Diceros bicornis minor: one gene and its partner. The protein of the gene in region 2 interacts with the protein of the main gene of each other region in a pairwise test. Links are inferred from orthologs where the notes say so. Each region holds a gene or a part of one and is shown on either strand. Other genes may lie near its edges.

Region 1 (6,554 bases), on a different chromosome or scaffold from region 2:
ACTGAAAAGCAGAAGACGAAGGGAGATTTAGAGGTTGATCGGATGTTTTGAACATGCCAAATTTGAAATGCCCATGAAACATCCAAGTAGAGATGCTGAGTAGGCAGCTGGGCTCCGGGCTTCTATCTAGTCTGAGATGCAAGTTTGGGAGATACCACCAAAATGGCATCACAGCCACTGAGGAGGATTAAGCCACCTGGAAAACCTGATTCAATGCAGCAGAAGGCCTGGGACTATCGCCTGGAGCAGCCAACATTTAGAGAGGTCATCCACCGAGGCTTAACCCGAGTCTTTGGCGGGGACTGTTAGGCCAAGAAGCTCTCTGCTCCTAAGAACAAAGCCTGGCCTGCTGGGAGCCACACTGGCTCCCTGAGGATGAATTGCTCAGAAATGAAGGCAACAAAAATGACCAAGCACTGGGGTGAGAGCCTGGATCCAGCACTGCCAGACGCCTGCCTCATCTGTACTTCCTCTAGCACACACGGTTAGCACACGCTTTCACTCATCCACTTTTATAAAAATTAGTTTTATTGGGGCAACGTGACATCACGAGAGAAAGCACCACACCATGTGGCAGGACCTCCTTTCCTAAGTGAGCACCAGTGCACAATCACACAGCTTTCCCACCATTCCTCACTACCAACAGCTACTACATCTAACACTAAAGACTGACTAAAATATTCTTTCTATAACATGCTGAACACTCACTTCAGCTTATTGTTGAAGCTTTTCTAAACGGACTTCCCTCTTCTGGCAGGAGGAACAATTCACCTGAAGACCTACAAATGGGGGTCTCGTGCTTGTCTGACAGTACCCAATATGCTGGTCTCACATCTGCCCAAAAAACGGCACCAGACTCACTGACCAGCCAGGGACAGACCAACCCCACATCTGTCCCACAGAGCATTCCTGGAAAGGCTCTGCACCCAAGATAAACCCCCACACCACTCACGGAGAGGGACTGTTCCAGGATGGGGGAGAGGCTAAAAGAAATTGAACCTAAACTCTTCATCAGGAGTGTCCAGGGTGGCCTTGGCTCCCCCTGCTAGGTGAGGCCTGCAGACCCTTCCACTCTTCTTTCTGGCGGCCTCACCTACAGGCTGCACCTGGGCTGACTGGGCTGCTGCGGGAGAAGAGAGAGACAGCATGAGGACTGAATAACAACAGCTAACATTACCTCTGCCCCCACAATTCTAACTGCTTTGTATAAATTTAACTGACTTCTCAAAATTATGAGGTAGGTAGTATCATCACACTCCTTTTAGAATCAAAGAGTAATTCACTAACTCTCCTGCTCGTCTCCCTGGTCTAGGCCCAAATTCTGTGTTCCCGAGGTCCGAGCTTTCTCATTCCCCGCTCCCTGAGGTTTCCCTGAGCCAGTCTCCTCCTCCCGCCAGCCATGTGGCTCTAAGCTTCTTTCTTTCACTCCCTAGGCTCTTCTTCCCCAACCCTTGAATTAGGCTGCCCTGAATCAACCAGTTCCCGGGTCCTCACCAGTCCGGAGGGCCCGCAGGGCTTCGCGCCACTCGCCTTCCATCTGAGCCCTGTAGTCCCCAAACAAGGAGCGCATCAGCTGCCTCTTCCGGGGCAGGGGGGTTCTTTCGCTGTGCAGGGTTCGGATTGCCCCAACAGCCTGCTCTCCTGCGGAAAAAAAAAAGGACTAGTGGCCTCCTCTATCCTCTCCTCCTATCGTCCTACCGCAAAGGCAACAATTCCACCCGGGCAGCACCTACAGCCCAGAGCACTGTCACCATTCACCGCCCCACCAACTCTACAGACGGGCCCCTCACTCTGTCTCGGGCTGGGTCTCCGCGTCTTGAGGCCTAGCTCCAGCTGCTCCACGCACCAGGCCAGTTCCCGAGCCAGCTGCTCCGCCTGTGATGGATGGGGGTAGTGGCTGCGAGAGGGCCTCCAGGCCCACCCCACAGCGACCCCCACGCCCCCATCCCATCCTCCGCCACCTCCACCCGCAAATCTGAGCGCACACCGCGGGCAGACTCCACCCTCCCGACCGAGGCCGCCCTTGCCTGGGCCTCCGCGCTCAAGGGTGCTTCCTCTGGGGCCGGCTCTTCGGGGGCCTTGCTGCCCGGATTCGCCACAGAGGGCCCCTTCCGGGTTTTCTTTCTCTTCTTCTGCTTCTTAGCGTCCGCCTCGCCTCCACCGCCTACGGGGCGCGCGTCCCCGCGCGCGGGGGGCCCTGGGCGGAAACGGACCGGGTGGGACCCTACAGCGGAGGGACCCGGGAAGCCGGGGCCGCGGGGCGCGCGCGCGGTACCTGGACCTGGGGCCGCCGCTGTCTCCCGAGCAGGATGTCCCAGGGCCTGGAGAAAGGGGGCAGCACGAGGATCACGGGGGCCGCCACGGCGCCAGGCCCCGCCGCCCGCGCGCCCTCCCCGCCCCGCTCACCGCCATGCGCCAGGTCGCCGCCGGAACCCACGTAGGTCCTCGGGTCCCACGCCGAATTCGCTCCTCCAGCAACGCGCCCGCGGCGCAGCGTTCCGGGCGCGAGCGGGCGGCGGGCGGCGGGCGGCGCCCGCCCGGAGCGGAGCCAGGCCCAGCTCTCACTCTGTTGTGGCCCCGTCGATCCTTCAGCACCTCACAGCCGCCTCGTTTGTTTTCCCTGGCGGTACTAGCGCCTCTTCAACCCCCAGAACCCGGCAGCAGGTCCTTGAAGAACCTGAGAGAGGAAGGTGTGGAGGACCCAGGCGGCCCCGTCAGCGGTCCCCGAACTCCTCTCCGCGCCCCGCCCTGGCGTGTGGTGAAGGCTCCCGGGCCCCGCCAGCTCTCCCGCTGTCCGCGCCTCCACGGCCGCTCAGACCCCACGCCTCGCGTCCACTCTCCGCCACCACGGCTGCGTCCTCGCTCTTGAGACACACCAGTCTCCGCTAAAACGATGTTTGCTCGGCCTGCTCTCCTAGCCTCCTTGGAAAATGTATTACCACCTTCATACGTGCAAATATGCAGTCAATTCTCATTATGTGAGGTAGTTCTATGAAGTGGCTGAGAATACTGAACCATTGCTTCTAGGGGAAATACAGTTCAGTTCCTGGCAGCCACCGTTCATGATATTTTCAACAACCTTGAAAATAACCTTGTTTTACGTGTGCTTCTGTTAAAGACACTTTTTAAAATATATGTAGTTGATTTACTAACATTGAGCTCATGGCCAACAGCACTATGACTCATGCCTGAATGAAGTTATCTGGACACATATTTCCTCCGTGAGGCACATCACAGCCTTCTTGCAGTTAGGAACACTAGACAGCACTTCAGCACTATGCTTGAGGGCCATTTTAAACAGCAAAAGCACCAACAAAAAGCACAAAAATGCAAAAAGTGTGGCACTGAATATACTGTGACAAGGACACAGGTTTACAATATAAGAGCTGAAACAAGAAAGCAGAGTGTCACCTTGGTCAGCCTCAGCTGTGAAGTCTGGTGACGGATTTTTCACTGCTCTGTGAATGTCCGTGAATGACCATGAAAGCACTAGTTTAGATTTTGGGGTTACAAATAAGTTCTAGCAAGTAGGCAAATTTGCAAATATGGAATCCACAGTAATGAAGATTGACTGTATATATAAACGTATTTTAAGGTAAAAATCATTAAAATGCATGTATCTACCACCCAGTTTAAGAACCAGAACATTATCAATATCTTTGAGGACCCTATGTGCCCTTCCTTCCAAGGTCATAATCCATTCCTCCCTTCAGAGAAAACAACTACATTGAAATTGACCATTTCTTTGCTTTTCTTGATACTTATATAACACAAATATGGATCTCTAAACAATATTGTTTAGTTTTGCACGTTTTGAACTTTAAATACATTAAATCATCTGTATGTGTTTTTTTTGTTTTGTTTTGTTTTTGTTTTTGTTTTTTGTGAGGAAGATCAGCCCTGAGCTAACATCCATGCTAATCCTCCTCTTTTTGCTGAGGAAGACCGGCTCTGAGCTAACATCTATTGCCAATCCTCCTCCTTTTTTTCTCCCCCAAAGCCCCAGTAGATAGTTGTATGTCATAGTTGCACATCCTTCTAGTTGCTGTATGTGGGACGTGGCCTCAGCATGGCCGGAGAAGCGGTGCCTCGTGCGCCCCCGGGGATCTGAACCTGGGCCGCCAGTAGCGTAGTGCACGCACTTAACCGCTAAGCCATGGGTCCGGCCCCTGTATGTGTTCTTAAGCTTGTTTTTTCCTCAGTATGTTGTGAGGGTTATGCATGTTGCTGTGTACAGCTGTAGTTCATTGTCTTCACTGGTGATGATATTCCACAGTATAAGGAGACACATCAATAAATATTTGCACTTCTTCCATTTTTTTGCTATTATTCACAATGCACTAGGAATATTCTTGTATGTCCCCTTTGTGCAGGAATTTCTCTAAGATATATCTAGGAGTGGAAAAGCAGAGTTGTAGGGTTATCCACATTTTCTACTTTCCCAGATAATATCAGCATCAATTTTCCAAAGTGGTTGTACCAGGTTACACTCCCACCAGCAGTGTATTAGAATTTATATGTTCACAGCTTCACTATTTGGTATTATCAGACTTTTAAATTGTCAGTGTGATGGGTGCAAAATAGTATCACACTGAGATTTTAATTTTCGTTTTTCTGAGCATCTTGTCATAATATTTATTGGCCACTAATGTTTCTCTTTCTATAAAGTTCTTGTTTATGTCTTCTGTTCATTTTTCTATCTGATCCACTGTTTCTTATTGAAGGCATAGAAGTTATTTACATATTATAAATATTCATCTTTTGTCAGTTGCATATGTTATAAACATCTTTTCCCACTCCGCAGCTTGTCTTTTCACTTTCTTTATAGTGTACTTTGATGAAAAGAAATTCTTATTTTTTAACAACATTGAATGTATCAATCTTTTTATTTCCCCTTTTTGTGTCTTAAGAATTTTTCAACTTGGGATCATAGAGCTAACTTCCTCTTCTAAAAGTTTATGGTTTTGCCTTTCAAATTCAGATTTTTAGTCTAACTGAAATTGATTTTTGTGTCCATGTAAAGTAGAATTCAATTTTATTTTTAAAATATGGATAATCAACTTTCCTAACCTCATTTGTGGAATTCTGATCTGCAAAGCCACCTCCATCGCAGCTCATTTCCACATATACATGGGTGTGTTTCAGAACTCTACACTTTGTTCCATTAGGCCTTTGTATGTCCCAGCACTAATGCCACTCTGGTTAACTGCCAACCTTTATAAGTCTGATATTCAAATGAGCTTATTCATTTCCATTAAAAAATGGAAATGTCTCCTTGGACATTTTTGTGAGATGAGTTAATTCTGTAGAGCATTTTGGGAAGAATTGATTCTCTGTATTAAACAATCATGAATCTAACATGAACCTAGTATACCTCCCATTTAATTAGGTCTTCTTCAATATTTTTCAACATTCAATATTATATTTCAATAAACTTCAATAAAGCTTTATAACTTTCTCCCTAAAAGTCTTTCACATTTTGTAACTAATCCTACATATGCTATTTTTAAATTGCTATTAGGATTCAAATTGGGGCACAAATCATATGTACACTTATGGTATAATAAGAAAAATATTTTATTTTTGTCCTTAGTTCATGGCACAGAGCTCCAAAACCCCTTGGAATTTCCTGAGTGATAAGGATGATAGGAGCATCTTTTGTTCTAATGAGATGACTCTTGGCCAGCCCCTAGACAGCTTCAGGATGGGGGCTGGTCACCAGAAATACTAAGCCTTATTAGAAACTTGGAACTTTCAGCCCCACCTCCCAATCTACAGGGAGGGGAGAGGGGCTGGAGACTGAGTTAATCATCAATGGCCACAATCATGCCTACATAAGGAAACCTCCATTAAAACCTCTAAACGAGGTGATCTGGGGAAGCTTCTGAGCTGGTGAACACATCCATGTGCTGGCAGGGTGGTGCACCCCACTCCACAGGGACAGAGGCTCCTGCACTTGGGACACTTTCAGACCTCCCCTATGTACCTCTTCATCTGACTACTGATTTGTACCCTCTGTAATAAACTATAATAGTAAGTATAGCATTTTCCTGGGTTCTGTGAGTCATTGTAGCAAATTATTGAATCCGGGGTGGCGGAATGTGGGAACCCCTGACTTTGTAGCTCAGTCACACAGAAGTGTGAGTGCCCCAGGCACTTGACACCTGTGACTATGTCTGAAGTAGGGACAGTCTTGTGGGCTGAGCCCTTAATCTGTGCAGTCTGCACTAACTCCAGGCAGTTAGGGTCCGAGTTGAGCTGAATTATAGGACTCCCAGCTGGTGTTGGAGAAGACACCATGTATTTGGTGTCAGGAAGGAAAAAACCACAATCTTTAATGATTTTCTTGTCTGTCTGATCTACCAATTATTGAAAAAGGCATGTAACACCCTCCCACTATGATGGTGAGTTTGTGTATTGCTCTTAGCAATTCTACAATTTTTGAAGTATATTTAAAACTATTTTATTCTGTGAATTTAAAATATTTGTATCTTTCTGGCTAAATGAACATTTCAGAATTATGTAATGGCATTCTGTTATCTACAGTAATGACT
Region 2 (7,447 bases):
TCTGGATTTGGAAACCAGATATTGAAGCTTGCTAAGAATTGTATGTTAAAATGATAAAATGTCTGAAATTTTCTTGAAAATACCCATTGGAACAGGGGAGCAGGGAGGGAAATTGTTAATTATTCAAGCTGAGTAATGGGTATTTAAGCATCTATTACTCTCCCTTTATATGTTTGCAAATTTTCATAATAAAAAGTTTTTCAAGTCCACCATTAAAAATAAGAATTGTATGTTAGATATATGCAGGTCTATGTATATTTATTTCTTAATTTTTATCTTCGTAAAGCTTCACAGGAAACTTAATAGTATTTATCTTTGGACAGAAGGACTGAGTGCTAATAATAAGAGGCAGAAACTTCCAGTTATAAAATAAGTAAGTCACAGGGCCGGCCCGTGGCTTAGCGGTTAAGTGTGTGCGCTCTGCTGCTGGCGGCCTGGGTTCGGATCCCGGGCGCGCACGGACGCACCGCTTCTCCAGCCATGCTGAGGCCGCGTCCCACATACAGCAACTAGAAGGATGTGCAGCTATGACATACAACTATCTGTTGGGGCTTTGGGGGGAAAAAATAAAAATAAATAAAATCTTTAAAAAAAAAAATAAGTCATGGAAATGTGATGTATAACATCGGGAATATAGTAATTAATATTATAATAACTTTGTGTGGTGACAGATGGTTACTAGACTTGCTGTGGTGATCATTTCGTAATGTACATAAATGTCGAAACACTACGTTGTACACCTGAAACTAATATAATATTGTATATCAACTATACTTTAAAAAAAAAAGGACTGAGAGCTAAAAGGAAAGGATGCTCACTGTTTATTTGTTCTAGTGGAGTTTTCAGACCTTTTTTACCTCTATGTGTTATGTTTATTTATATATTTGTGTGTGTGTGTTTTTTTAGATGTGTATCTAGTCAGGAAGAAGGTGCATTTCCTCATTTGTAAATTGAAAGTACTAATAGTATCTAAGTTAAGGGATTGTGAGGCTTTTCTGCCTCTGTATTTTAATACATTTTTTGTTTTATTTTAAATAGGTATTTTAGGTGGATAACACTGGATTCTGTGTGAAGTGCTAAAAGAGCAGTAAAAGGGGCTCTGTAATGGCTGTTTCAGACTTCTGGTATCCAAATCTGGGCTTAAGGGTCTCACTAACTGATGTTTGCAATGTCCCCTGCCACCTCTCCCTTTGATGGCTTGCTTGCTGCCTTTGCTGTAGCAAAGCTAACTCTCTACTCTCTCTTATGCTTTGCTTTCTTCCTAAAGCTTTACACTCCTTGTTTCTTATTTTCTTTCTTCCTTGGTTTAAATATTCTGCTGTTTCTGTGTTTACTGTTATTGAGGGAAACAGATACATGCCGAACTGCATAATGTAAATTCAATTGTTGATCACCACTGACATACTGGATTCATAACTAAGTATTTCCCAAAGGTGGGAGCATAAATTGGTGTCTCTATGGGAGGCAGTTTGACAAAATCTATCATAATTTAAAATGTATATACTCTTTGTCATAACAATTCCACTAAAGAAAATTTATCCCCAAGTTATACTCACATGTATGCAAAGATGTATGAAGAAACTGTAAACAGTATCTGGATAGAAGACAAAAAGGGATTTGGGGTGGGAGACTTACTCTAAGTCTTTTGAAATTCACGTTTTTCTTTACCTTACGCAGTTATTACTTTTTATATTAAAGAGAAAAACTAGGGTAAAAAGGAGCCTTCTTACCACCTGTGGGTAACACAGCATCTACAGGTTCTTATTCCTAATGAATTTTCTGGGTTATATTTTTCTTCGAGGGTCAACAATGCTGACAGTAACCTTCTTTATTGCTCAACCTGACTTTGTGTAGGATTTTGACAACCCTAAACTAATCATTTAATAATTGAGTCCATTTATGATAGTAGAAATTTTTACAGTTTTCTTGCATAAAAGTGTGTGCGTGTATCTATTGCATATATGCATTTATCCTTCCTGACCCATATTCTGTACACACACACCCTTTCTTTACCCAGTTCCATTACCTGTTGACCACCTGTTTTTTCCTCCATGATCATGTACTTTGATATCTGTATGTATGTATATATATATATATACATGTGAGACATGTACATTTTAATAAAGGGATTTTTTATTGTAGTTTTTCTTTTTATTTATTTATTTTTTATTTTTTAAAAAGTGAGGAAGTTCTGCCCTGTAGTAATATCTGCCAATCCTCCTCTTTTTTTGCTGAGGAGGATTTAGGATGTTTAGCTGCCCTGGGCTAACATCCGTGCCCATCTTCCTCCACTTTATATGGGACGCCGCCACAGCATGGCTTGACAATCGGTCCGTCAGTGCGTGCTGGGGATCCAAACCGGCGAACCCCAGTCCGCGGCAGTGGAGCGCGTACACCTAACAGCTTGTGCCACTGGGCCGGCCCCTGTAGTTTTTCTTTTTAAACCTGATCACGTTATACTCATTTGATTGTATTTTGCTTTTTTTTTACTCAACACTGCAATGTGCAAATCCCACCATCACCTGATAAAACTCTGATTTATTCTTTTTAATGATTGCATTGTGTTAATTGGTCAAAGTATATTGTAATTTATTCAGCCGTTCCTGTATTGATTGAAACAACTCTGTTTATGGAGACAAGAAGTTGGAAAATACATGACAATAAACATCCTTGTACGTATTATGTATGATTACTTTTATTTCTATATGATGGATTCCCAGTAGCAGGACTGGCAGGTTAAAGGTGTAAGTACTTTAAGTTTTAATATATGTTGCCAGAGTTCCTTCCAAAAGGATGTCATAATTCACATTTAGGCCAATGAAATACGATAGTACCCTTTTGAGGAGATATTATCAATCTTTAAAATTTTTCCTAAAGTGATATCTCATTGTTAAACTAATTGTTATTTACCTGACTTCTAGTAAGTTTGAGTATTTTTTATAAACTTGACCAATTGGATCTGCTCTTTCTCTACATTTCAAATATTTTTTTCTGATTTAATTGCTTAGTTTGTTTATGGTTTTTTCATAATAGGAAATTTAAAACTTTTTATGTCTATCTTTTAAAGTTTCTGCTCTTTGTTAAGAATGTTTAGGAGACATGTCATCTTATAAATTTTGTTGTAGAATGTATTGCTGTGATTTGTTTTTTACATTTGCCTTTATTTCACCTGAATTTTATTTTTTTATATATAATGTAAGATAAAGATCTAATTTTTTTTGGCTGGATGATAACCATTTTTGTGGTGATTGTTTTAAAAATATCCTTTCCTGCTGAAATACTATTTAATTTTTGACTTGTACATTTTCTCATATGTGCTGGAATCTATATTTAAGTTCTTTATTCTGTTCCACTCGTGTGTGTTTATTCCTATGCTAGTGCCATATTGATTTGATTACAGTAATCCCTCCTTATCCGAGGGATATATTCCAAGACCTCACAGTGGATGCCTGAAACCTTGGATGGTACCAAATCCTATATATACTGTGTTTTTTTCTATACATACATACCTATGGTAAAGTTTAATTTATAAATTAGGCTCAGTAAGAGATTAACAACAATAACTAATAATAAAATAAAACAATGATAATATACTGTAATAAAAGTTATCATAGATCTTAGCAACCTCAACATATGATTTTTTTCTTATTCAGTCAAGAACTACCACCTTTTCACTTAAAGGAAGCACTTTATAGCTTCTCTTTGGCATATCCGAATTGCCAGCATCACTACTCCTACACTTTGGGGCCATTTTTAAGTAAAATAAAGGTTACTTGAATACAAGCGCTGCAATTCCCTGACAGTCAGTCTGATACCAAGACAGCTACTGACTGACTCATGGATAGCATATACGGTATCCACTGGACAAAGGGATGATTTGTGTACAGAACGGGACAAGGCTGGACAGCACGAGATTTCATCATGCTACTCAGAATGGAGGGCAATTTAAAACTTATGAATTGTTTATTTCTGGAATTTTCCATTTAATATTCTGGTACTGTGGTTGACTGAAGGGTAACTGAAACCACGGAAAGCAAAACCACAGATAAGGGGGGACTTCTGACATGTCTTTTGAATATATTCTGATATGTGGTTAGTGAAGTCCACTTACGGTTTTCTCCTTTTGTTCAATTTTCTTGGTGGTTCTTGGATTTTCTCCTTTATAACTTTAAGATACTATTTTTGAATAAAAAGGTCTTTTGAGCTTATTTCTCAATACAGTTATTTATAAATATTGGGGAAAAGTTACTACTGTGAATGAAATATTTTTCCCATTATGTTTCTAGGTGTTTCCTGCTAAACTAGGGAAAATTTTTATTTATGTATTTATCATACCTCTGCTTTATAATTTATTTTATTAATTTCAGGGTTTTTCTTTACTAGAATTGCTTGTGTTTTCTAGGTACAGGCATACCTCATTTTATTGCACTTCGCTTTATTGCGCTTCGCAGATATTGCATTTTTTACAAGACCCTCCACCAGCAAAAAGATTACAACTTGCTGAAGGCTCAGATGATGGTTAGCATTTTTTAGCAATAAAATATTTTTAAATTAAGGTACGTACATTGTTTTTTAGACATAATGCTATTGCACACTTAATAGACCACGGTATAGTGTAAACATAACTTTTATATGCACTGGAAAACCAAAAAATTCATGTGACTTGCTTTATTGCAATATTCACTTTATTGTGGTTAGTCTGGAACTGAACCTGCAATATGTCCGAGGTATGCCTGTATTCTGTCAGATCATTAACAAAAATATATTTTTCTTTTCCATTCTAATATTTATGCCAGTTAATTTGTTTTCATGTCTTATTAGTTTGCTATCATCTTCAAGTCAGTGTTGAATTATAAAGGGTTTAGAGGGCTTCCTGCTTTAATTCCTGATTTTATTCATTTGATTTATTGAATGAGTAATAAAATTCATATAGTTAAAATAATAAAAGTTTCCTGTGAACAGTCTCCTTCCCACCCTGTCCCTGATCTGTCCGTTTCCCACTCTGTACTCAAAGTAACCACTCTTCCACAGACCATCAAATTTCCATGTAGAAGCAAGTTCTTGATATAGATATAAATATAGAAATATATATAAACACACATACATACATTGAATAGATATATATTTATTGTGTGTGGATACCATCTTAATTTTATTTTAAATGCTTTTAGTGTTTTGCTATTTAGGATATTTGCTGTTGTTTTTTTTTCCCAAAAATGTTTAATTTTTTTCTATTCTTTTCAATGGAGCTTTTATTATAAATGGCTACTGAATTTTACCAAATTCCTTTTCAGCATCTGTTGTTATAATCATATGAGTTTTTCTCCTTAATTTGTTGATATGTTGGATTATGTTGATTTCTAAAAAAGAACCACTCTTGCATTTCTTTCTTTTTCTTTTTCTTTTTTTTTTTTTTTGTGAGGAAGATTTGCCCTGAGCCAGCATCCAATGCCAATCCTCCTCTTTTTTGCTGAAGATTGGCCCTGGGCTAACATCCATGCCCATCTTCCTCTGCTTTACATGTGACACTGCCACAGCACAGCTTGACAAGCAGTGCGTCAGTGCGCGCCTGGGATCCGAACCTGCAAACCCTCACAGGTTAAGAGCGTGCGCACTTAACCTCTGTGCCACCAGGCTGGCCCCTACATTTAACTTTTAAGTGAAATTGGTTTATGGTATGTTTTGTGTACTACCTTTGTTAGATTTAGTATTGAGTTATTCTGACTTCATAAAACAAATTGGAACATTTTCTGTATTTTTCTATGATTTAATATTATTAAAATGGTTTTTTAAAGATTAAGAATCTGCTGAGAATCTGGCTGGTCTTGATGTCTTTTTCTATAGTAGATTTTTAATTACCTTTAATTTATGGTATTTGGTTTTACTCAAGGATTCATTTCTCCGGTCAGTTTTGATATTTCCTCTTTTACTGGGAAATCATTCTTGTCTTTTGGGTTTTCAGATGAATTGCCATGAAATCGCATTTGTGTTCTCTTAGTTTTGTTTTCTTAATTCTCTTCTGTGCTTATGTTGTATTTCTCTTTTCCTTCTGAATCTTGTGAGTTTTCTCTCTCGGTCTTTTTTTTTTTTTTCACTCCCTTATTAGACTCTGAGTGATTGTCTTTCAAAGAGCTAGCTTTAGACTTAAGTATCCTCTGTATAACTACTTTATATTAATTCCAAATAGTATCTCTTAGTTTCTCTTCTTAGTTTATTTTGATATATTTTATTATTTTTCTAATTTCTTATTTACTGAGTTTTTTTTCCCCCTTGCCTTTTAAAAATATTAAAAGTCTTTGAGGCCATAAGCTTACTTTTTTTTTTTTTTTTAATTTTATTTATTTATTTATTTTTCCCCCGAAGCCCCGGTAGATAGTTGTATGTCATAGTTGCACATGCTTCTAGTTGCTGTATGTGGGACACGGCCTCAGCATGGCTGGAGAAGCGGTGTGTTGGTGCGCGCCTGGGATCCGAACCCAGGCCGCCAGCATCGGAGTGCGAGCACTTAACCGCTAAGCCACGGGGCCAGCCCAATAAGCTTACTTCTGAATACAAATTTTGCTGGGTCACCTGGGTTTTAATTATGATTCTATTTTTTTGTTGTAGCTGACTATGTAGATCATAATTTCCCTTTTTATTTCCTCTTTGATCCAAAGATTATCTAAAATCACTTCGTAGTTTAAAAGTAAAGATATTTTTGTACATTTTTCTAAATTTTTTAGATTGTATATCTCTGCAATTAGTTAAAGCTTTCATTATGACTATGTTTATGATCAATCATGGTGCTGAACATAAGAAAAAATATCTGTTCTTTGTTAGAGGGTTACAAGGTATCTTTTGTATCTTGTAAAAATTATGTTTATTGATAATATAAATTTGTTTTTTTCTTCTTTCCAACTATATTTGTCCATTCTAAAAGGTATACTGAAATAATTCAGTATATTTGTATTTTAAAAAATAAAATTATTAAAGTTCTAATAAGCTTTACTGTGTTATTTGGTATATACAAGTTTATAAGTTATATCTTGGTCATAAACTGTATGTATATTTTATAATTGTATAATCTTTCTCTTTATCCTACTAAGTACTTTTGACTTTAAAATTATACCTTCACTGATAAATAGTTCCCTGCAGTTACTTGAAAACAAAATACTATTTTTCCCAGAAAGAGGCTCGTTTTTTGCCTTGGTATCTCCTTGACCTCGAAAAGGTGAGACCTTTGGAGTACTTTTATTTTCTGCCTCTCTTCCTTTTTCACCTTATCCTCTTCTTCCCAGTCAGATCTCGGGAGTACTTTTACTTCTGCTTACCTCCATCTCACCTGCCTACAACTCTTTCACTTTGAATAAATAGCTTAGCAAATATTATGTAGAAATCTATTAAAATTTCTTTTGTGATCTAGTCCTTTTGTTTCAAGAGTCCTTATTTATGTTATACATTCCTAGAC

The links. The genes of interacting proteins can lie anywhere in the genome.
Region 1: the proteins of HMBOX1 (region 2) and C21H8orf33 interact in binary tests that used the Homo sapiens proteins (3 or more experiments, as listed by UniProt). The two-hybrid records come from large-scale screens. The link is inferred for Diceros bicornis minor from reciprocal best matches to the Homo sapiens genes HMBOX1 and C8orf33.

The regions. Positions count from the first base shown.
Region 1 is NC_080760.1:57,568,576-57,575,129, reverse strand, and holds C21H8orf33 (UPF0488 protein C8orf33 homolog), read right to left. Parts: upstream 2,518-6,554; 5' UTR 2,413-2,517; coding exon 2,407-2,412; intron 2,322-2,406; coding exon 2,276-2,321; intron 2,198-2,275; coding exon 2,028-2,197; intron 1,876-2,027; coding exon 1,791-1,875; intron 1,642-1,790; coding exon 1,495-1,641; intron 1,124-1,494; coding exon 984-1,123; 3' UTR 508-983; downstream 1-507.
Region 2 is NC_080750.1:64,922,829-64,930,275, reverse strand, and holds the start of HMBOX1 (homeobox-containing protein 1), read left to right. Parts: upstream 1-4,426; 5' UTR 4,427-4,556; intron 4,557-7,447. UniProt on the Homo sapiens protein: Binds directly to 5'-TTAGGG-3' repeats in telomeric DNA. Associates with the telomerase complex at sites of active telomere processing and positively regulates telomere elongation.